Cricetulus griseus: one gene and its partners. The main gene of each other region encodes a partner of the protein of the gene in region 2 in a complex. Links are inferred from orthologs where the notes say so. Each region holds a gene or a part of one and is shown on either strand. Other genes may lie near its edges.

Region 1 (5,997 bases), on a different chromosome or scaffold from region 2:
CATCTGTCCAGAGACTTGGTAGTATGGAGGGGTTAAGCCAAGGCTTTCTAAGGGGATGGACTGGCCAGAGGAAGGGGACTCCTGGTGTTGTGACCTTCCTCACAGAAGAGAAGGAAAAGAGAGTATCAGCCTAGAGGCTGGACAGAAAGCCAGAGCCCCTTTGTAGGTTCCCTGGATTGGTGACAGATCGCCAGAGAAGTGTCACCACTGCATCTGGACACCCAGCTGGGCATAAAAGGTCTACATTCTGTACCTCCTCTCCCACACTTCCCCAGCTGCACCTGACTTTCAGACTGTGTAGCCCTGTCTGTCCTGAACTCACAATGTAGACCAGGCTGGCCTCAAACTCACAGAGATCCACCTGCCTCTGTTTCTAGAATGCTGGGATTAAAGGTGTGCACCACCATGCCCAACTTTAGGATGTTTCTGCTGTTGTTGTTTGAGACAGGGTTTCTCTGTGTAGCCCTGGCTCTCCTGGAATTCACTCTGTAGACTAGGCTGCCTGACTCTGCCTCCCAAGTGCTGGAATTAAAGGCATGCACCACCAATGCCCGCCGGGTGTATGTTTTTCTTTTTTTAGTGACACAATTTCACTTTGTAGCTCAGCCTGGCCCAGATATCACATCATCCTGTTTCTGCCTGAGATTACGGGCTTGTACCATTGGAGGTGGGAGGCTGGGTGTTTTGTGAATCCTGTTGGCATAGCTCCTGTTAAAGTAACAACCCTAAGGCCTCAGGTAATCTTTCAATTTGGGATTGCATGGCTTTGGGGGTGGGGAGGGAGATGAATTTGGAAGTACCATACCACTGAACTTCAGTTGGGGATGCAGGAAGGGAATGGAGTTTTGTGACCAGGAACGTGGGAACAAATGGGTCTTTTTTTTTTTTTTTTTTTTTTTTTTAAGATTTTATTTATTTATTATGTATACAGTCTATACAGTCTTCTGCCTGCACGCCAGCCCAGCAGAGGGCACCAGATCTCATTCAAGGTGGTTGTGAGCCACCATGTGGTTTCTGGGAATTGAACTCAGGACCTCTGGAAGAACAGTGCTCTTAACCTCTGAGCCATATCTCTCCAGCCCCCGGAAAAAAATGGGTCTTAAGGACCAAGAGTAAATGAAAGGTCCCAAACGGCCCAGCAAAAGGTTAACAGCAGATGACACTGTCGAACACAGTATCTAGCCATCACTGGGGGACCTGAGAGTGAACTGGAGGGAAGCAAAGGTCCTGGGACGAAAGACTGAAATACAATGAGAATGCCAAAGTCTGGGGGGGGGTGGGTTCAAAGTGCTTTTATAGTAGAGCAGCATGGGGCGGGGGCCACAGATAGCCTGCAAGCCTGCCCCTTATCGCTGGTCCTTTTCCAACCAGCAAGAGGACAAGGCGGAGCGCCTGGCTAAGGCAGGGGGCGGGGCCTAGCACCAAATTTGGAAACCATCCTCCAGATTCCCCAGGCCCAGGAGCGGTCATTTGCGGGACCCTGGGCAGGAGACGCCCGACCTTCCCGAGGCAGAGCACCGCCCCTCGACTCACGCTTCTGCCACGCCCTCAGAGCGCCGGCTTTTGGCTACTAACCGAGGCCCTTCTGGGGCGGAGCCAGCTCTCCTCGGGGCGTATCCTAGTGGCCGAGCGCTCACCCCCGAGCGTGGTCTATCGCAGGACGCCGGCTAGGGGCGGAGCCCAGCCACCGAGGGGGCGTTTCTTCTTAGTCGGACGCGGGTCCCAGACTCAAGGCCCTCCACCTTTCTTGAACTACTGCAGTGTGGGTACAAGGCAAGGCCGCTCGCGTGCTTCCCGCCTTGGGGCGTGGCATGGCGGGGCGTGGCCGAGCGGCCGAGCGCCGCCCCCTGACGCACACGGTGCTACAAAGCGCGGTGGTTCACAAAACGCCGGCCTGGGGGCGGGGCCGTCTGGGGTCCTTCCGGGGGCGTGCCCGGCAGGCCAAGCACCGCCTCCTGACGCATGCCCTGCCCATCTCTCCAGAGCAGCTGCGCTGTGGCACAAAGCGCCGCTTACACGCAACGCGGCCTGGGGCGGAGCCTAGCGCCCCTGGGGGCGTGCCATAGCGCTAAGCACCGCCTCTCGACGTAGGCTCCTTTACCCGGCGTGCCGGGGCGGCTTAAGCCACCTCACAAAGCAGCGACCGTTCCCGCGGGGTGGGGCCGGCCCCACCCACGTCGTGCTCGCTCTCGCCGGGCTTTCTCAAGCGCCAGCAGGGGGCGCTGCGCCACCGAGCCCGGCCCGTGGCGGCGGCGGCGGCGAGGCGGCGCGTGGCCGGCAGGCGGCGCGCTGCCAGGCTCGGCCTCGGCCTCGGCCTGCGCGCGCGGCGGCGGCGGCGGGCGGCCTGGGCCCGGGTGCGGCGGTGGCGGTGGCGGTGGCCGTGGTGGCAGCGGGGCCTGGAGCCGGACCTAAGATGGCAGCGGCGGCAGCGACGGCTGTGGGGCCGGGTGCGGGGAGCGCGGGGGTGGCGGGCCCGGGCGGCGCGGGGCCCTGCGCGACAGTGTCGGTGTTCCCCGGCGCCCGCCTCCTCACCATTGGCGACGCGAACGGCGAGATCCAGCGGCACGCGGAGCAGCAGGCGCTGCGCCTCGAGGTGCGCGCTGGACCAGACGCGGCGGGCATCGCCCTCTACAGCCGTGAGTGCTGGGGACACCCTGGGGACGGCGGCGCACGAGGCCGGCAGCGCGGGCGCCGGGGGAGGGGGCGGGCGAGGGGACTCGGGCCGAGCTAGTGCACGCGGCTCCCTGAGCCCGCCGGCGAGATGGCAGAGAAGGCGTGCGCGGGGACCAAGGAACCCCAAGAGGGGCGCGGGAAACAGTCGGGAGCCTGAGATTTGCAAGGGGGGGGGTCGTGGCAGGAAGTGGGGCCCCGAGGATTCAGGGGGGATGATACAGAGGGGCCTGGGGAGAGGGAGCGATTGAGAGGGCTCTTGAGCGGGTGTGGTTTGTAGATCTCATCTCAGGGGGCATCCTCTACACACGCATAGGGACATTTGAAAAGTGGCTTTCAGTGTGGAGCTCCGGGAAGACTGGGTGCCGCCCTTGTGGAGAAGGACTTGGGATTCGGGACCCCCCCCCACCTCTCGATTGGTAAACTTTAGAACTGGACACAGAGATAAAGATTCCCACCCCCATCCCGCATGGAAACGTGGAAGAGGGGCAGGCCGGCTTGCTGATGGCCGGCTTTAGAAGTCAAGAGGTAACGCCACCTCCCTCGACATGCGCCTCCTGTCTTCTTTTTTAAGGACGTGAGAAGCTGGTGACATTATCAGAGGCGGCTTCAAAAACTGACATTTCAGTGGGGGAAAGGGGGTTAATCACAGTGTGTTTGCGAAGGGCAACCCCCCACCCCCAAGCTTTGTACTTCCACCTTTCATTCTTTCTCTTGTTACTTTCTTCTGGCGGATTCCTCAGTGTCATTTTGCTATTCTGTTTCATGGTCTTTGTCTCCCAGGGTTTCGTTCACTGATGCTCTTAAGGGGCCACCAAAGAGAACTGGATTGGTTTTGGCCTGTGGGAATCATTTCCCCCTCCTTGGTAAATGGGGTGTTGGGAAGGGAAATGTGTGTAGCAATCCTGTAGCAGTCCGTTCAGATGGGTTCGCCTCTCTTTGCCTTGACTTTGAAAACACAGGAGAAAGAAGTGTGTCTGGTGCCCATATGTGGGGCACCTTTGGGGACTTGGGCAGAGCTGGGATCTCCTTGACCACACGAGGGAAAGGGGAATTTCACAGATTAGGAATTTAGGACTAGTAGGGATGCGAAGCTCTGTAGGACCCCAGGCCCCTAGGTAAGCTGGAGGTACCTGGGCCTACCCTGGAAAGTGTTCTGGGAAGCTGGCTGTGGTGGCGCCGGCTTCCCTGTGGGCACAACACTTGGTAATCTGAAGTAGGAGGACTGAAAGCTAGAGTAAAGCTTGGGTGATGTGGGCAGAGCCTGCCGCAGTCGCCAAGACAAAGTTCTGGGTGGCTTGGGTTGTGAACTTGACAAAAACATTTTTATTATTTATTTATTTTTGTTTTTTTAAGGCAGAGTTTCTCTATGTAGCCTCGACTATCCTGGAACTCACTATGTGGACCAGGCTGGCTTCAAACTCACAAGAGATCCTCCTGCCTTTGCCTCCCTAGTGCTGGGATTAAAGACAAGCACCACAATCACCCAGATAAAAACATTTTTATTTATACAATTTATTATATTTACATAATTGTTAGATCCCACATAATCCCTTACACCCAATTTTATTCTTAGAAGCTCATCTTATTCCAGGGGAATCTTTACAGTTTGTGTTCTTTTGCTGTAATTATCTAAGTTGCCTGGGGGCTCAGCGTGGATGAGGATATGGGTTCTGTTCCCAGCAGTGAAATAAGATGATCATGAACTAGGGATATTGCTTAAGTAGAACATTTACCTAGTAAGTTTGAGGCCTTGGGTTAGATTCCCAGTACCACCAAAGCCCCCAAAAGCAGTCCTAAAGTGCCAGGTGTGATGGTGCAGGCCTGAATACCGGCATTTAGGATACTGAAGCAGGGGAAATTCAGTGTCGTGCGCCCCCCCTCCCAGGGTTTCTCTGTGTAGCTTTGTAGACCAGGCTGGCCTTGAACTCACAGAGATCCATCTGCCTCTGCCTCCCGAGTGCTGGGATTAAAGGTGTGCGCCAACACCGCCCAGCCACCCCATTTTTATTACATATAATTATCTATTTGTGTTTGTGTAGGGGTATCTCATGTCACAGTGAGAATGTGGAGATCAGAGGATAACATTCCAGAGTTGGTTCTCTTTCCACCATATGGGTCCTGGGAATCAAACCAATCTCATGAGATTTGGTAGCAAAGTACCATTACCCACTGAGCCAGTTTTGAGACAATCTTGTGTTTTCCAAGCTAGTCTTCAACTTACTTTGTAATCCACAGTGGCCTTGAACATTGTGTTACTTCCACTTCCTTTCTGCTGGAATTATAGACTTGAACCACCATTCCTAACTTTGGGGCGTGGTTAAACATGGGTTCTGAAGACAGGCCAAAGCTGAGTGTGTAGATTTCCAATGGTCTTTGTAACAAATGATAAGTTTGGTGGATTAGAGCAGTTGGGATATACTCTCTCACTTCCTGGCCACACTCTGAAATCAAGGTGTCTGCAAGGTCACTCTCACTCTGGAGTGGAAGGAAGAAGATTCTCCCTCTTGCAGATTCTAGTGGCTCCAGGAACTCCTTGGCTTTCTGTAGCCAAACTCTAATCACCCCTCACTTCCTGTGGCTTCTCATTTGCCTCTGTGCACTTGTTTCCTACTTTTGTTTTGAGATGGTCTCATGTAGCGCCTTCTTGGGGCCCCAATGCTTTGGTCAAGCCCTAAGACACTGACCTGTTCATTATGAGGCTGTATGCTTTCAGCCAAGCTGTGTTTCCAGACCCTAGGGTCTGAATTTGTACACAGGCTGTAAGGAGGGTTTATCAGAATACCAGAAGGAATTTTTTTTTTTTTTTTTTTTTTTTTTTTTAACGATTTTGGAGACAGGATTTCTCCTGGAACTTTCTTTGTAAACCAGGCTGGCCTCAAAGGCGGATCGAAGAGATCCGCCTGCCTCTGCCTCCCTAGTGCTGGAATTAAAGGCGTGCGCCACCAACGCCCGGTCAGAAGGAATCTCGTAGTGCTTCACATGTGTAGAGATCTCTGTGGGTCCTGTAAGGGCCCTGAATTAAAATTCAGGAGTCTGGCAGATACTGGACAGTCATGTAGCTTTTAGTTAGCCTTATGACCATCTGTGCCTGTTTCCCTACCTGCAGCAACACTTCTCTGCCTGGTGTGTACCTCCTGTGGACTGAAAAGCTTGAAGAAGAGAAGGTTTTGTGGAGCAGGGGATTTGTAGCAAGTGTTTGTCAACAGTACATTTCTAAAATTATATGTTCTTTGGTAACTTCACATATGAATACAATGTATTTAAATCATATCCACAACCCAAACAACATTTTTACAGATGTTATTTTATTTCATATTATTGTTG
Region 2 (5,316 bases):
ATGTTTGGTGCTTGAATAACTTAAAAAAAAAAAAAAAAAAAAAAAAGCAAGACCAGTGGGCAGTGGTGAAGCACTGGGGAAGGAGATCCCTGTGAGTTTGAGGCCAGCCTGGTCTACAAAGTTCCAGTACAGCTAGGACTGTTGCAGTGAGAAACCATATTAGATATTTGATAGTATGTGCCTATGATTGTACTCTGGGTTTCTCCAGACACTCCAGCTGATGACTTTGTTTTTCTATGTCTCTCAAGAGGCTTTTTGGAGACAGGGTTTCTCTGTGTAGCCTTGGCTATCCTGGACCTCAATCTGTACACCAGGTTGGCCTCAAACTCAGAGATCCAACTGCCTCTACCTCCTGAATGCTGGGATTAAAAGTATGTGACACCACTGCCTTGCTTCTCAAGAGTTTTGTCTCACACAAAAGCTGATAATCACTGGATATTAAATTTTTATCTGTGAGATTAATAATAAAGACCAAAAGCAGGTATAGTTTAATGTATTTTAATAGCAAACTTACAGGAACAGCACAGAAGACAGACAACATTAAAAACATGTACTTGCATGTAGGACAACTCAGTTAGAAAAGTATAGTGAATGGATGGAATCTACTGTATGATAAAAATGCTACAAACACCATTTAGTTGCCGTCAATAAGAAATTTACTTATTTTAAAAAAATCCAAATGCTGGCATTGTCCAGAAAATTTTAACAGGTTTATTTATAATTGTTATAAAGTTGAACTGTTGAAATGTGTTCACTGAAACATTTTGCTTGCATTAATGCTTTACATCTTGCATTTATATTAAAAATTCACACACAAATGAAAATGGAAAAACTGCCAATACCTGATTTCTGTCCCCTATTTTTCCACTCGCAATCATATACTTAGGTACCTTTTGACCCCATGGAAAAAATATCTAACATTCAGAACTACTGATAACAGGAAGAGGAAAAAAATTTTTGAGAATGAAATGTTTCCCCTCATAGTGGACTTTTAAGCACGTTCTCCGCGTATGCGGCGTGCTAGCTGGATATCTTTTGGCATAATTGTTACACGTTTGGCGTGGATAGCACACAGGTTGGTATCTTCAAAAAGGCCAACCAGATAGGCCTCACTTGCCTCCTGCAAAATAAAGAAAAATTACTATTGTTTCCAACACTTATATAATAGTAAAACCCTTTACAAACTTACTTTTTTATCACAACTTAATTTATCAAATGTTCACATCACACGGTGTACACACACACCCACACACACCAAAAACTATCAAAATGCTTAGGCTCATACCCCACCTCCCTTTTGGACAAGATTTCTCTGTGTAGCCCTGGATGTCCTGAAACTTGCTTTGTAGACCAGGATATCTCCCCTGGAATGCCAGGATTAAAATGCATTCACCACCACCATCCAGCATAAGTTCATAAATTTTTATAAAATCATACAAAGCACCAAGACACTTCAAAGAAACCAATTCTAACATTCCCACCCTTACAGAGGGAATTGTATGCAGCCCAACACCTCTCCAAAGGCTGACACCAACCACGGCAGCAGCAATAAGAACAGGTCCCCCTCACCTCTGAGCCTGTCCACATTCTTATACTTTGAACCTTGTTCTTGTTCTCCTTTCAGTTCTACAGGAGTACTTAAGGAAGGGTTCCAGAATACATCATCGATTGGTTGACTTATCTGTGTAACCAGCTTCAAAGTACTTTCTTCCAAATCCTCAATGCATAATGGTGTTTCCTGCCCTCTAGAATGCTGATCCTGTTTCCCCTCTCCTTTCACTGTAAGATTTCCCAGGGCATTTTTTTGAGACTGGGCTCTCGAGCCTGTCCTGAGCAGAATTCACTTTGTAGATGAGGCTGGCCTGGAACTCAAGAGATCCACCTGCCTCTGCTTCCTGAGTCCTGGGATTAAAGCCGGGCACCAACACTGCCCAGCTCCCCAGGGCATTACCACCCCAAACTTGCTAGCTGCATGAACCATTAATTGACAATTGTAACGAGACATGAGAGAACCCAAAGTTTGGGACCCCTGCCTACAACTCAAATGCTGGCATTATTTGTTCCCTGGGATCCACAGGATGGAAGGCGGCTAGCCAACTTCTGCAGGTTGTTCTGAGTGGAATGTATACATACACACACAAATAAATAGCTTCATTTTAAAAGATGTTCCTACGATTCCCAGGATAGGAATTGGAGTACAATGTAGCCTAGTGGCATCCCCTTTCACCAATACGTCACACAACAAAACTAAGATTCTGCTTTATATATATACTAACAAAGGAAGTGAAGAGGAATATGGTTCAACATAAAATATACACATCTGGAAAGTTTTTATAAATTACTTTGTGCATGCTAAGCAAGCACTCTACCACTGGTGCTGCCCTTCGTTCACATTGGTAACTTCGTCCTTTGTGTATGTATGGATTTGAGTGGGAAGGCATTGTGTGTACACACAGAAGCCAGAGAGCAACCTCAGGAGCCACCTGTGTGTGTGCATGAGAGGAGATGAAATTGGGTTCCTTTGTCAGTTCTTATCACATTATTTACTGGGACAGAGCTCCTTATCAAAACTGGAGCCCCTTCAATTTAGCTAGGTTGGTAAGCCAGCAAGCTCCAAGGATCTGCCTATCTCCAATTCTCTGGCACTGAGATGAAAGACACTGTGCCCCTTTCTGTGTGTACTGGGGATTTCAACCCAGGTCCTCATGCTGGTATGATAAGCACTTTAATGACTGAACCATCTTCCCAGTCTCACCTTGTTTTTTGAGACAGAGTCCAGCACAGAAACTTGGAACTAGTGAGCCAGGCTATGCAGGTTAACCATTGAGCCCCTGTTCTCAGTGTATTTACAAGCACCTACCACACAGCTTTTTACATGGGTGTTAGGGATTGAATTCAGGCCTCCATGTTTGCAAGACAAGCACTTAAGGAAGCTAACTCTACAGCCCCATCTTCATCCATAAGGAATCCTTAGTATCATACTTCTATAAAAATCTAGCTTCATGCAAAATTTACTATTCCTATGTCTTTAACACTTAGGAGTCTTAATATCCAAGTTCTGGCTCAAAAAGGATTCCTTGAAGGAACACGTTCTTGGTAATTAAGTTATACCTCAGTTCCTGTGCATTCACACCAGTCAGCTTTATTTTTTTATTTTCTTGGTTTTCTGAGACGGGTTTCTCTGTGTCTTTGGAGGCTGTCCTGGAACTAGCTCTTGTAGACCAGACTCGTCTCGAACTCACAGACACCCGCCTGCCTCTGCCTCCCGAGTGCTGGGATTAAAGGCATGCGCCACCAATGCCCGGCCCAGTCAGCTTTTAATACCCTTCAGTTAACTTGCTAAGAGATATCTCATTCCATGTAACGCTTGGTTCTCATGTACATGTTCAGTGCTTGTTAGTTTGCTTTTTATACCTAACCCTCATTAAATCTTCTCCAGCTCTGCCTACAGTAGGACTCTACCTACTCTGGAGGGTGAAACAGGAGATCCATGTGTTCAAGGCTAGCTTGGACAACTTAGCAAGACCCTGCCTCAAAGATATTAACAAAAATCTGTTCTGGGAGTACCACTGGGGTCATGTATCTGAGACTGTTTGCTTCTAGGGGTTGTGTTCTGGAAGATTACTGAACACACATATATTCCCAAATCTTTTACCAAATGCTCCTAAATCCCTTTATAGCACTAAAATTATAAAGGGGGTCCAGCAGGGTATAAAATGCCTTCAATCCCAGCAGGGAATCTGACTTCTAAGCCAAGGTCTAAATAGTAAGACCCTGTATCAAAATAAACACTTGTCACATTAATTTTTAACACAAGGAATACAATTTTGAAATGGTAAGAAAAAGCAACTTATGAATAGATATTAATTTATTTATAACATTGCTGCTTTTCGAGACAGGGTTTCTCTGTGTAGCCCTGGCTCTTCCGCAAATTCCCTCTGAAGTCTAGGCTGGCCTTGCAGTCAGATCAGCCTGCCTCTGCCTCCTGAGAGTGCTGGGATTAAAGACTGTGAACTGCCACACCTAGCATATTTATAGTCTGACTCTGCTTCAATACTGTCCATTCTTAATATAAAAACATTTTAGTTCAAGCTCTCTGACTTGGGGTAAAAGCTAAGCATTATTACATTGGTCAGTTCCCAATTATCCGCAATCTCTCTACCTCTTGGAGCTACATTCATACTCCTTTTCCTTCAGTTGTTTCGTCATCTCTACAACTCTCATTACTGCCAACCATGATCTGAACACATTAAATGGAAAAGCTAGAAGTAAACACTTTATTTTTATTGAGGCTAGGTTTCAATTTAGCCCATGCTAGCCTTAAATCATTTTCCCACCACAGCCTCCAGTCTTAGGGATACAGGTGTGAGCCATCATACCTGACACACATTTCATAAAATTTAAACTTTTTATTAACAGTATACTCTGCCAGCAATGCAAGCTAGCACCTCAGGAAGGTAGAGGCAAGAAAACTGCACGTTCAAGACAAGTTGGCCAGGCATGGTAATGCATACCTTTCATCCCTGCGCTGTGGAGTCAGAGGCAGGCAGATCTGTGACTTCAAGAACAACCAGACTACATAGAAAGACCGTCTCAAAAAAAAAAAAAAAAAACCACCCACATTAAAATAATGCTGGGGAATAGTTCAGTGTAGATAGAGTGCTTACCCAAGGAAGCAGGAGACGCTAGGTTTAAACTCTATTTAGGACTACAAAAGTGCATTGTTCTAACTGTACCACCTCCTTTACTGTTGCAGTCTGATATTGTGTCTAAGTTATAAATTACTACTTAATGCACATAAAACCACCTGACCACCCAGGTTATACATAGGATTTGAAATCATCCAGTTTTGGGGATCTTTTGGGGATTTTTGGAATGTTGGAGGGACAGAGAAGCTATCTTTGAGTTAGTTATGTAATTAAAAAGATTAATGTATTATCTGTGCATGCATGTGCATCATATCCATGCAATAATGCCAGTGTGCAAGGCCCAGAGGGTAGATCCCTTGACCTGTTGTTACAGGTGGCTGTGAGCTGCCTGACAGATGGGAAATAAAGGACAAGCAGCAGTGCTTTTAACCAGAGGCATCTATCTCAGTGCCTAAACTCTTTTAAGACAGGGTTTCTCTGTGTAGGTTTGGAGCCTATCCTGGAACGCGCTTTGTAGACCAGGCTGATCTCAAACTCAAGACGTGCCGGCCTTAGCCTCCAAGTTCTAGGATTAAAGGCCTGTGCCACCATGCCCAGTTGTCTTCTTTTTAAGTCAGGATCACAAACAATGTGTCATCCCAGGCTAGTCTTGAACTAGCTATCAGCC
Region 3 (5,983 bases), on a different chromosome or scaffold from region 2:
ACATTAAACCTTCACAAAAGACTGCTAAAATCACAGCCTCCTATTAGATAAAAACAGTTCTGCCATGTCGCCTATCCAGAAGCTCACTGACTACCCTTGAGCTGACAGGACCCTTGCTCCTGGTCCTTGCAGCCAAAGACAACTGTTCACAACACAACCCTTTCCCGTTGACTTTTTAGCATGCTTGTCTTCCTTGGCCTCACTATGTCCATAAACGGTTACTAAACTCTGCTTGCAATTCCTTGCCACTGTGATCTGCTGTTCTGGAATACCATTGTATGTTATTTAGGCTGACATTTGCTGGGAATGTAAAATGTACAGCTTCCAGGGAACATGGTATGGTGGTTCCTCAAAAACCTAAAACAATCCTGTATGGGCAACTCATCATTCAGAATGGAACTCTGGGTACAAAAGAAACTAAGTGCCTTGTCCTTTAAAGTCACATGTCCAATTCCCTATGTCAGGATGAGGTCATGAGGGCAGGCCCAGCTTGTGATGTCAGTCACTAGACAAGTGTTCACTAAGGGAGGAAGTCCAAGACACTACCCAGCCAAGTACTCCTAACTGATAAATGCTGGAAAAAGACTTCTATGTCCTTTAGAAAGTGATCAGGATATATATATATATAGAAAAAAAAAAAACAAACAAAATATACACCAACGACTAACCAGGGAAAATAAAAGGCTGTATAGAAAATGCAATCACAGCACAACAGCAGGCATATCTGAAAAGAAAAGAGCAACTCCAACAAGAGAAAGTAAATAAAGGCAGCATGCATTTCATGGGAGCAGTGTGTCAGCCTGTGCCAGCTTGACACACAGGACCTCTCTGGTGGAGAGAACACAACAAACAGCAACCAATGGTCTGAGCATTTCACTTACAACTAGAGAAGATGGAAACAATTATTTTTTTTCTCTGCACTCCACATTCTAAAAGGTCTATCAAGAGCGTTTGAGATGGCATAATTCCCTAGCATGTCCAAGGACTTGGATTGGGGGGGAGGGTGAGTATTTCTAAATAAAGTCTGCATACGTTAAGGCTGATAACTACAAAGCCCATTCATCTTTAGATTCTCTCCTAACCCAAGGATCTCACAGTTATAGGAAAATTAATGCACATGGTATCCCCCCGATAGGACTATGGAAACTAACATTTATTTCATACATCACAGAATTTTTTTCCAACCATTTTGAGTGCTCATTTTTAGATGACAGACCATACAAAAACAGGTGCCAGGCTGGATCTGGTTCGTAAGTTATACTATACCAACTAGTCATGAACCAAAAGCAGACAGTCGAAAAAAATTCTGAGGTTCCAAGAGCCTGTGCCAAATTAGCCCTCTAACCACTGCCACACCCAGGGTCAGCTAGTAATTATGCACTTTACTACAGTGCTACAGTGGGTCTCAAGAACACTCCATGGGGCAACACTGCCAACTTTAAGGAATTTTGTTTGCTTGCTTCATTTCAATCTTTCTTTTCGAGAAACGGTTACTATGTTACTCTGACTGGACTGTAACTCATCTATGCACATCAAGATAGCCTGAAACTTAAAAGAGTTCACAGAGCTTTGCCTCTTCCTCACCCACCACCACCTCACTATTCAGGGCAATTTATATCCCTGGTCCAGGACCTTGGCCACCCATAATTTACACAGAATAATTTCTTTTCTTCCTTTTTTAAAAAAATATTTATTTTTTATGTATGAGTGCTCTAACTGCACGTACACCTTTATGAAGAAGACAGCATCAGATCCCACTAGAGATGGTTGTGAGCCTTGGTGTGATTGCTGGGAGTCGAACTCAGGACCTCTCAACAGCCAGTGCTCTTAAAGGTTGAGCCATCTCTCCAGGCCTCAGACAGAATAATTTCTACTATTTCCCTGGGAACAACTCTTGGCTCTAAGAGTGGTGAGTGTCAGATTAACCCAGTTGGGGAGCAGAATGCTTAAACCCCAGTGGAAAGAAAAAATAAAGTTAGCCGGGCGTTCGTGGAGCACACCTTTGATTCCAGCACTCAGGAGGTAGAGGCAGGCAGATCTCTATGAGTTCAAGGCCAGCCTGGTCTACAGAGAGAATTCCAGGACAGCCTCCAAAACAATACAGAGAAACCCTGTCTCGAAAAACCAAAAAAAAAAAAAAAAAAAAAGAAAAAAGAAAGAAAGAAAGAAAAAAAAAAGGAATAGTTACTCTCTTTTAACTACTAAAGACCATTTCATTAAACAAACTATGTAACTAAAGGTCCTTAACTTGGAAGATGTAATCAAAAGAAAGGGGATTAAGCAAGAATGGCCAAACTATGGACTCCAGAAAAATGACTTGGTGGTAAGAGCACCTACTGCCCTATAGAGGACCAGGGTTCAGTTTCCAGTACCCCACGAGGCAACTCACTCCCTCAGTAAGTGAAGGGACCTGAGTCCCTCCTGGTCTCCAGGCACAGGGGTGGGTAACATACATACACACGTGCAAGCAAAGCACTCATGCACATAAATAAATGTGGAGAAAAATGGGCAATCTGTACGAACGGGCAATTAGAACACAACAACAACAACAACAACAAAACAGATGTGAAGAATGATAACTTCACAAACGGGCAGGGGCAACAAAGCCAGGTAACACCTCACTCCCACTTGGGACCATCCCATCCCGCCTGAGAGCACTGCAGGGCGAGCATGGCCAAATGAATGGACCGGGCGGGGAGAGGGAGGGAGGGTGGGAAGGAGGGAGGGCCGCAGATGCCTCCTTCTTGTGCCAGCGACAACCTCTGGAAACCCGTACGCTCAGCGATGAAATCTAACACCGAGAGCCTATTTTTTTTTATTTTATTTTTGGAGGCAGGGCTTCCCCGTGCCCTCGAGGATCTGCGGGCTCCGCTGGCCCGAGCGCGGGGATCCCGGGCAGCCCCTGCAGCCGCGCTTCCGACCGGGAGCCCCGGGCTGCGGAAGCCGGGCTCTCCCCGCCTGCGGGCGGCCTCGGTGCCCGCCGAGCGTAAAAACTTCGCAGGAGGAATCCTCAGGTGCGGAAGCCACGCCCACGGTGTTTGGACCCCAAGTGCGAGTGGTTTTGTGCGACCACTCCCAACTTGGTCCCCGGGAGGACCGCAGGCCCGGGCACGGCCGGGGGAGAGGCACCGCAGCGGGGCCGCCCGCAGTCCGCCCGCCGCCCGCCCGCGCCGCAGCCGCCCCCGATCCGATCCCGGCCGGGCCGGGCAGGGCGGGCGAGGGCGCGGCTGCGACGACAGCGGGCGGCGGCCGCGGAGCCGGGAAGGGAGGCCGGGCTGGGGCTGGGCAGCCTGGTCCGCCCCGCCGGCCGGCTCCGCGCCGGCGCCGCACCGACGCCGCCCACCGCTCCTGCGAGCCGAGCGACATGGCGGCGACTCCGCGGCCGCACCGCGACCCCCGGCCGCCGCGCCCACTGCCACCGCCCGCCGCCCGCCCTCCTGGGACCCGGCCGCTCCTCCCCTCGCGGCTGCTCACCGCGCTGAGGCGGATCCCGCTGGGTGACTGCGCCGCCATCTTGAGAGAGCTACAAAGCCAGGACCGGCCTCGGCCGCAACCCGACTGGCAGGCTGAGTCCGCCGTGTATGAGGTGGTGTGGGGGGGGTCTCCGTTCACGCCCACTTCCTGGGCGGGGCGACCCGCGCGGCCCCGCCCACTAACTTCCGCCTCGGGCAAAGCCTACGCGGGGCGCGTAGGCGGGGCTTGCCCGACCGAGTCTGACCTGCTGCGCGCGCAGGCGGCTCCGGCGCCGGGCGCATGCGTGCGGCGGGCCGGCGGACACAAACTCGCGCCCGGTGGCTGCGCCTTGAGGGTGAAGATTGGCGCGAAGAAGAAGCGTGAGTGTGGAGGAAGCTTCAACTCGGATGAGGCTCGCCCTGCACGGGTGTGACCCGTGTCCGCTGGTAATGATGTCATTGGAACTTTACCAGACAAAAACTTCGCAAGGAAATAATGGTGCTTTTCTTTAGATTGGCCTGAGAAAGGCCAGCTCTCATCTGGCGTCGTAGTGCGCCAGACGTTGACTCACTGTGTGTCGAGCCCGGCTTTGCACTGAGTCGGATGTAGGAATGAATCAAGCAAGGCGAACAGGACAGGCAAAGACAGGGATGAGAGGCTTGCGAGAGTATCCACCGCCACCTCACCAGAGTTACACTTTCAGTAGGTTTTCTGTAACGGGATAGTAGGTAAGCCGGGCCAAGCCGAACTGGAAAAGCAAAACAACAGGCTTATTTGAGAAAGCAACTGCCAGGTAAGTCCTTCAGCCCCAGACATCGGGGCCGGAGAGGTCACGCGTGGAGGGTGAAAGGTCCAGCCAAAGAAACACACCCTGGCCCTGAAACCAGAACCAAAGAAACACTCTGCCTCTGACTGGCCGAGTACAAAAACCAACCAATCCCTGAGCAGGAAAACCAACCAATCACTGATCTTATCCAAACTCAGGGATTCAAATCCGACCAATGCCCACCCTGATAATCTCCACCCCAGGGCCTGTTCAGTTCTTGGTTGCCTTTTCCCGCCCTGGCGGAGGCAGCCACCCTTCTAGATTCTTTCCTACCAATAAATCTCTTGAATGAGGTTTGGGTGAGATCTTCTTCCGCTGGAATGGAGCGGAGGAGACAACAACTTTTCAACAAAGCGGAGCAGAACTGTAAGACTTTCTCCGGGAAAACCTTCCCTAGTGAAGCAGAACTGTACAGCTTGGCTGGGGAAGCCTGCTCCTGTCAGAGCAGAGCTGTGTCATTGGGAAACCTTTCCCTGGAGCAGGGTCCTGAGCTGCTGCGCTTACAATGACTTTGTGGTACCCCTTGGCTCCCTACTGTCTGAGCTGCAATGCTTATAAGGCAGCCGAGCTAAGGCAGGCAGCTTATATACCCTGTAGGCGAGGGTCGATGACACGCCCTCCACAAGCTGGGTTTGTGTCCCAAGTATGGTCAAAAGCTGACAACTTTAGGTGGGGTCTTGGGCAGCTGGCAACTCCAGGGGAGGAGCTGCCTCAGCTGCCAAGAATGCGGAACTGGGCTTTTTGGCAGCTTTTCTCTGTTGGAGATTCTTTGAGAGGGCGGGGCTTGGGGAGAGAGGAAAGGGGCTTTCCAGATCAAGCAGGAGTTAGCTGGAGATTCCAGTGAAAGATTGTGTGAAAGTTCAAGTAATACAGAGCATTGAATTCTCCCGGCTCCTCTTCTGCAGATAAAGTGCTCTTTATTCCAGACCCGCTATCAATTAAACACTGCCTGCCTGAGCCCAGAAGAGGCCATCAGAGGCCCTGGAACTGGGTCACAGGTGATTTGCCAGCTGCCATGTGGGGATTGGGAACTAAAACCAGTCCTCTGGAAAAGCAGCCAGGGCTCTTAACCACTGATCCACCTCGCCATTCATGGGTTCTATTCATTTTAAGAATGTGGTATTCTTGCCCCTAGTGAAGAATTGGTTGGCTCTGGCTGGATCTTGTCCCCATCCTAATCCTATCTTCTACTTGGAGGAGCTATGAAAGGAGCATCCACTCATTCCGGAAAGGCCACTGATGACAAAGCCAAGTCGAAGAGATTGAAAGGGGCTGGATTGGGATCAACAGAGAAGCACTGGAGAAATGGTTCTGGAGCCAAGAGCACTGGCTACCCTTGAGGAAGACTTAGGTTCAGTTCTTAGTCCCCACATGGCAGCTCACAACTATAATTCCAGTTGTGGGAGATCCAACACACTTCTCTTGTCTTCTGAGATACCAGATGTTCACAGGTTCTAAATGTATGCATGTATACCTGCAGGCAAACATTCATACATGTAAATAAAAATGCATGTTTTAAAATTACAAAAATAAAAGATTAAATAGGACAGGATATTATAGGCAGAGAATGACTGGATACCTTCCTGGGCGGGGCTTCATGCAACGGAACATTGGGAGGTAGAGGCAGGTGCTTTGTGACTGTGCTATAAAGAGCCATGGGTCTCCTGGCCCAAACTGTTTTCTTTCTCTCAATAGTTGGCTTAG
Region 4 (6,002 bases), on a different chromosome or scaffold from region 2:
TTGGGAGCCGTTCTTTTCCCTTTGGAAGGTTTGCAGTATTTTGCTTCCATCTGAGCCAGAAAATTGTCCATTTCCTTTTGCCGATCCTTTTGTCTGCTCTGTTTGAGAAGTTAAAACACAGCTTTTAAAATGCAGCACTGTCCACTGAGACAAAGTATTTCACGGTTAGGAGGGGTTGTGGTCAAGGAAGCACACCAGTGACTAATAGTTTGTATGGGCTTCCTCTGCAGTGGTAACAATGTTCCAGAACCAGTGGTGGCAGCTGCACAACTTGGAGAGGGAAAAACTACCTAACTGTACATATGATGTAAGTTGTGTGTAACTGTGCCTTAAAAGAAACACACCAGCCTCCTTTCCAAAGGGCATACACACAATAAGGGATGGTGAGAGGACTGTGAGGGAGCCAGAGGGAAGCCTGCCACGTTTACCTGGATGAGTGCTTTCAGGTTATTCACTCCTTCCTGCAGCCCCAGCTCCTTTCTGCTCAACTCGGCCTCTTTAGCCTCTTTCTGAGCCTAAACAGAAAAGTTTCATCAGACTTCATGGCAACCAAGAAATAACGAAAATACACATCCCCCCCCCCCCGCCCCTTCTACAGCTGGAGACACATGGATAAAATTGCATGTGGTTTTCATTAGAAGATGACATACACTGCTCTGGTTCCAATATGCCCTTTGGTTTTATCCCCAGCTGTACTTCCTAGAGACACAAACCAGGTGTTCACACAAAGGAAAACAGCCTACTAGGTGGATGGGGAAGGTCACATAGCCAGGGACGCCAGGTGTCAAGATTCTTCAGGACCTTCAGCTGAAACCCCATTTTGTACACAGCACTGGTGGCAGCCTTGTGAACCCCAGTGGTTTAAAGGCTCTCTCTGGAGCTGGCTCACTAGTTAGCAGAACTTCTTGCTTTTCGAGGACATGCCGGACACCTACATCAGGTTGCCTGTCACTCCAGCTCCTGGGAATCACAGCCTCTCAGCCTCTCTGGGCCCCCACACTCTTGCACTCCTAGCACACCAGCAAACACACACACACGCAGTTTTCTGAGTAGTTAGGAAAAACATTAGCAAATTCAGTTTCAGCCTTTCTTCAAAGGCTTTAGTCTGACTTCAAAGCTGCCTTCATTTAACAAAATTTGCCAAAATACCAAAAGAACACCTAAAGGCAGCAACTTCAATAATATGAGGCCCTAATTCCTTGTAAAATTTTCTAATAAACAAAGAATTTCATTAATACTGGGGATAATAATAAATTGGGATCTTGTTATTCTGGAACAAAACAAGTTTTGCTTTATTCTCGCCTCTCAGCCCCCCTCAATCCTTTCACACTGGTTAGACAGCTTTCAAACTGTCATTCCCCCTTCAAACTCTCAAGTTTCTCAAAGTAAAATTGTATGTCTGAATCCAGCTGTTCTCAGTTTTACCTGAGAGGATTAACAAGCAGCGGGCATGACTCTAAGCAGATGTAGCCATGCAATGAAATGACTTCTTCCCTCAGAGCAACAGACATGGCAGTCTCTTATCTGGGCAAAACAGGCCCTAAACTCACTCCATCCACAAAGGTCAGATTTCTCTGCAATTTCATGTATCCAAAAGCTCTGGCTCTTTGCCTGTCCACTTGAGCCACAAAAAAGACAATTCATGTACCCACCAGATACGTAAAATCTTAAATTGCTGGCTCCCTGGGAAGCTCTCACTGTGAAAGCCAAGATGAAGCAACTATTGCTTTAATAGCAGTCCAAGGCAATATCAACACAGACATTTGCTACCTTGAATTCCTATGCTACCATCCCTACCAACCCTGGCTTAACAGGGGTATGAAGAATCACAAGTCCCAACCCTCAATTCCTCAATTCTCAGCAATCAGGTGTTCCTCAGAATGGGGGCAGAAAGACTCACTTCAAGTGTGCTTTAAAAAAAAAAAAAAAAGCAGCAGCAGTAGTAGGTGGGGTCTGGAGAGTTACTCCGTGGTTACACAGAGACCAGAGGTGTAAGATCCCTAGGAGCTGAAGTTAGACAGTTATGAGCCACCCAACCCTGGTGCTGGAAATTGAACTTGGGTCTCTGTAAGAGCAGTACACACCCACTGAGCCACCTCTCCAGCCCCTTAGTTTAAAGTTTTTAATAACTATATGCATTTACAGAATTAAAAAAATCAATCTCTGTTTTCTCCCGCTCTTCTGAGCAGTTTTGGAGACTTAACTCAGGACCTACTACATACTAGACAACCAATCCAGCTCTGATTCACACACCGCCAGCCTGACCCCAGAAGTGGCAATTTCTTAGTCTTGTTGGTGCTTGAGTATCAGGAGCCCACAGTCCAGCATTGCACTCTTAACAGCCATACCATCTTCTCCCTGTTCACCAATCACATAGGGACCACAGTGTTTGCCATGTAACCAGGCTCCTTAGATCTCCCTAGGACAGCTTCAGCAAAGCTGCCCCATGTGAAAGGTGTTTCAGAGTCACTGTATGATGATTTCAAACAATCCATAAAGTAAAATCATTATCAGCACAACATACCAAAAATAAAAAAGAAGAAGAAAACAAAATAACCAGGGTTTTCTTCATGATCTGACAAGAATATCTAGTAGATGAGTGCCATAGGTCAAGCAGCCCATATTTCAGCAGTCTTTATTTCCATCGTTGTAAATACTCCCAAGATCCCTTTTTGAAACAGCCGAGATAGGTTATGAACAACACTCAAACTTACCCTCCTTTTCCTTGCATTCATCTTTTGTTTGGACTCTTTGACGAAGGCATTGTAGGATGGGACCTCTTTGGCATCAATGGCTTGTTGAATGATGTTTCTTATCCTGGGTTCGTCTGTGTATTGCACGCAAAGCACAGACTCCATAATCTGATCCATGTCGCCCTTGAAGTCTAGGTAGGCCTGCTTAACATCAGCTAGCTCTTCTTCAGAGCCTTTGTATGTATTTTCAAAAGCTTGAATGTCCTCTAGCGATATCTAGTAACAAAGAAGATCGCTTTAATTCGAGAATTGTCCTTGTGGGCTGGACGACGGGAATTAGTCAAAGCCACTAAAGCCCTTTTTACCTTTTTAAAGAGTAACCTCCAATACGCGTCCCAGTCCCGGTCTTGGTCGAGGCCAGCAGATTCCTCGTCCACTGTTCCCTGTTCATCGTACACTGCTCTCTGCTCCTTGTCACTCAGAACCGCATAGACTCTCCCCAAGATCTGCAGGCAAGGAGCACCCAAAGTCACCCTGAATCTCTCGCTGACACCGTGCGGCTACAAATGCTTTAAAATGCCAGGCCGGTTATCAGCAGTGCGCTGTCCCGGGGGTGGGGGTCTCCGCGAGAGCGGGAGGAGTCGGGGTGGCCGCCCGAACACGGGCCCACACACGTACCTGGAAGCGGCGGGTGGCGTCCTCTTTCTGGTCCTCGTCTACACGGTCGGGGTGCACTTGCAGAGACACCTTGTGGTAGCCGCGTCGGACCTCACCCTCGGAAGCCTCGCGCCGCACGCCCAGCACCTGGTAGAGGTCGGCGGTGCCGAACACCTGCTCGCATAGCTCCAGCAGCCCCATGACTGGGAAGAGGCTGCTCCGAGAACGCCGATAACCAGCACCCACAGCCGCTCCGCCCGCCCGCCTCCTTTTCCCGCCCAAAAAAAAACACTGGGCGTCTGCGTCACAGGAGGCGCGTCGTGGGCGGGTCCAACCGCGCTTTACGGTAGCCGCAAAGTGGACTCGATCACGCCTGCGAAAGTAAAATACCGCCCTCAGCGTGCTGACGGCGGAGCCTCCTGCCAACCAGGGCGCGTCCTCTTGGCTCGCGACCCTGCACTCCTCCTTACCCCGAAAGCTGCCTCCGGGTTTCCTGCACAGAAGCTCACTCGATGACACCTGAGATATATAACTGTTTCCCAATAGAAAGCGGTTACTCGGGCTGGCCAGGATGCTCAGCCATACCTGACGACCTCCAGGACCCACACACACATCACACAAAATAAGTAAACGTAATAGAAGTGGCCATGTGTTAGCGTTGAGAAATTTAACATGCTCTACCCACAGATTAATGTGTGTGTGATTTTAAAGATGGTCCTCTAAAGCAGTACAACTACAGGGTCAAAAGACATCATCTTGGATGAACCCCTGAATCCCTGCAGGAAAAAGCCTGTGTGTAACAAAATGCAAAAGCTTAGTTTTTAACTGCCAGGATAGGCTCCAAAGCTACATAGAGAAACCCTGTCTCAAAAAACCAAAACAAAATATCTTTTATCTCCCAGGGCCATATATATTTGACAGTACAGAATTAATCCCATTCGCCTGCTCCAGTCACATTTTTGGTGGACCTAATATTGACTCAATCTCTAATTTTTAACATTTCAGTGGTTTCTCAGCTTTTCCTCCTCCTAGTATCTAAAAACCAAAGCCAATTAAAGTCAGTCCCGAAGGGCCCAGGCCCAGGACAGGAAGATTTGGTGGACTTTGCAGAGCCCCCACCCCACCCCCCCCCCCCCCCGTTGAGGGCCCTACCCTGCCTGAGGAGTGGTGGGTGGATGGGGTGGGGCGTAGGTTGGGGGTGGAGGAGGAGAGATGGGGGTGAGGGGAGGGAGAGGGGGAAGGGACTTAGATGTGAAACAAGCTTGTTCCCTAACTTGAATTAATAAAAAAAAAAAGTCAGTCCCTTTCTACTCTCAAGGTGTCCTCATGACAAGTGAAGGAAAACCAGCAGTCACACTGGAGAGCCTCAACACAGAGCTTAATTTAATTAGCTAGTAAATGTTTTCAGAACCCTAATAAGACAAGCCAGAGCATTAGCTTCCTTAGATTCTTCCAGAACCCCCGGATTAGGCACAAACCACACCCAAACATGTTTTCACAGAGATCCTTTATTAAGCGGGAAAGAAAAGTTAAAGTGGCTGCTTTCTGACTCAGGCAGAAAAACAGCAGCAAATGATCTTGCTGATGTAATTTTTGAGAAGAGAAAAAGGGTTAGAATGTGTCATATATTTTAGTTAGGCATGTTAATTGGGTGAACCAAAAGGGGCTTTTGATTGCTGAACTTATTTAATACTTTGATAGCCAGACCTTGGTAATCAGCCTCAGGGGGAAGTGGCCAAATAAAAGAATAGACCTTGGTGGCCAACTTTAGGAATATAATCTAACGGTTTTTAGCAAGGCAGAGGGAATTGGGGAGAAGGGCAAGGCCTGCCAGAGTCACAAGCTCAAGTGGGCTAGGGTCCCTTCAACATGTAATTCATACATATAGCTGTAAAGTCCTATTGTCCTGGTGAAGCAGATGTTAGATTTTATTTCATACAGCCTCCGATTTACATACCAAACTCAGGATACCCAAACACAATTCTATCACTGACCATCTTCTGTGTATGATGTGTGTATGTGTGCACATTGACATGTGAGTACATGGGCATGTACATGCTACAACACGTGTGGAGGCCAGAGAAAGACCTTTATTTTGGACCTCTGCACTGTGCACACCAGTTGGCCTATGTCTGAAAATTCCTTTGTCTCTCCTGCCCATGCTCCTGTAGAGGATGCTGCCTGCTATTACACTCTTCCACTTCCTGTTACAAGACTTCAAAGAATTTGAAATCAGAACTTCATGGTAAAACACTGGTACCCCCTGAGCCACCTCCTGGACCTCTACCACTAACTCTGGAAAAGCTCTCTCTTATCACTTCTTCTCTCATATAAGCAACAACGTGTGTAGGAAGACTCTGTAGGTAGACATATGGACTCTGAAGAGTTTCCTACTCTTGAGGTACAGTTTCCCTCCTCATCTGTGAACATGGATATAACTGAACTACAGTTGTGGTACTTGTAATACACAAGCAACTTCTCCGTACAGAGTTGACTATACGAAGGGGCTTTGTATTAGCTTCCTTCTATCTACTCTCTTAAAAGGTGGTAGAACTCAGAGGCCGAGGCAGGTGGATCTCTGAGTATGAGGCTAGCCTGGTCTACAGAGCCAAGTTCCAGGACAGTATGGGCTGTGACACAGAGAAACCCTGT

The links.
Region 1: the proteins of histone H3.3A (region 2) and Carm1 are in contact, whole or in part, in a crystal structure (PDB 5DWQ), measured with the Homo sapiens proteins. The link is inferred for Cricetulus griseus from reciprocal best matches to the Homo sapiens genes H3-3A and CARM1. Residues at the interface, in NP_001365972.1 of Homo sapiens: Gly14, Lys15, Ala16, Pro17, Arg18, Lys19, Gln20, Leu21; in NP_954592.1 of Homo sapiens: Gln148, Tyr149, Phe152, Tyr153, Gln158, Asn161, Met162, Asp165, Glu257, Pro258, Met259, Gly260, Tyr261, Glu266, Val340, Leu412, Thr413, His414, Trp415, Tyr416, Ser447, Lys470, Pro472, Phe474.
Region 3: the proteins of histone H3.3A (region 2) and Morc3 are in contact, whole or in part, in a crystal structure (PDB 4QQ4), measured with the Homo sapiens proteins. The link is inferred for Cricetulus griseus from reciprocal best matches to the Homo sapiens genes H3-3A and MORC3. Residues at the interface, in NP_001365972.1 of Homo sapiens: Ala2, Arg3, Thr4, Lys5, Gln6, Thr7, Ala8, Arg9; in NP_056173.1 of Homo sapiens: Pro406, Asp407, Gln408, Thr409, Trp410, Val411, Gln412, Trp419, Asp424, Leu429, Pro430, Glu431, Trp433, Glu450, Glu453.
Region 4: the proteins of histone H3.3A (region 2) and Dnajc9 are in contact, whole or in part, in a crystal structure (PDB 7CJ0), measured with the Homo sapiens proteins. The link is inferred for Cricetulus griseus from reciprocal best matches to the Homo sapiens genes H3-3A and DNAJC9. Residues at the interface, in NP_001365972.1 of Homo sapiens: Ala88, Ala92, Glu95, Ala96, Gly103, Leu104, Glu106, Asp107, Asn109, Leu110, Cys111, Ile113, His114, Lys116, Arg117, Val118, Thr119, Ile131, Arg132; in NP_056005.1 of Homo sapiens: Glu196, Ala197, Glu199, Ala200, Glu201, Ser203, Arg204, Leu207, Leu209, Gly212, Val213, Leu216, Lys217, Ala219, Ile220, Gln221, Arg223, Gln224, Arg227, Met231, Phe234, Met238, Tyr242.

The regions. Positions count from the first base shown.
Region 1 is NC_048597.1:134,415,056-134,421,052, forward strand, and holds the start of Carm1 (histone-arginine methyltransferase CARM1), read left to right. Parts: upstream 1-2,368; 5' UTR 2,369-2,413; coding exon 2,414-2,636; intron 2,637-5,997. UniProt on the Homo sapiens protein: Methylates (mono- and asymmetric dimethylation) the guanidino nitrogens of arginyl residues in several proteins involved in DNA packaging, transcription regulation, pre-mRNA splicing, and mRNA stability.
Region 2 is NC_048598.1:13,481,504-13,486,819, reverse strand, and holds the end of histone H3.3A, read right to left. Parts: intron 1,121-5,316; coding exon 992-1,120; 3' UTR 483-991; downstream 1-482. UniProt on the Homo sapiens protein: Variant histone H3 which replaces conventional H3 in a wide range of nucleosomes in active genes. Constitutes the predominant form of histone H3 in non-dividing cells and is incorporated into chromatin independently of DNA synthesis.
Region 3 is NC_048597.1:3,964,227-3,970,209, forward strand, and holds the start of Morc3 (MORC family CW-type zinc finger protein 3), read right to left. Parts: upstream 3,630-5,983; 5' UTR 3,514-3,629; coding exon 3,475-3,513; exon of another isoform or gene 3,340-3,474; intron 1-3,339.
Region 4 is NW_023276807.1:200,587,261-200,593,262, reverse strand, and holds the start of Dnajc9 (dnaJ homolog subfamily C member 9), read right to left. Parts: upstream 3,630-6,002; 5' UTR 3,552-3,629; coding exon 3,372-3,551; intron 3,200-3,371; coding exon 3,059-3,199; intron 2,970-3,058; coding exon 2,715-2,969; intron 516-2,714; coding exon 429-515; intron 99-428; coding exon 1-98.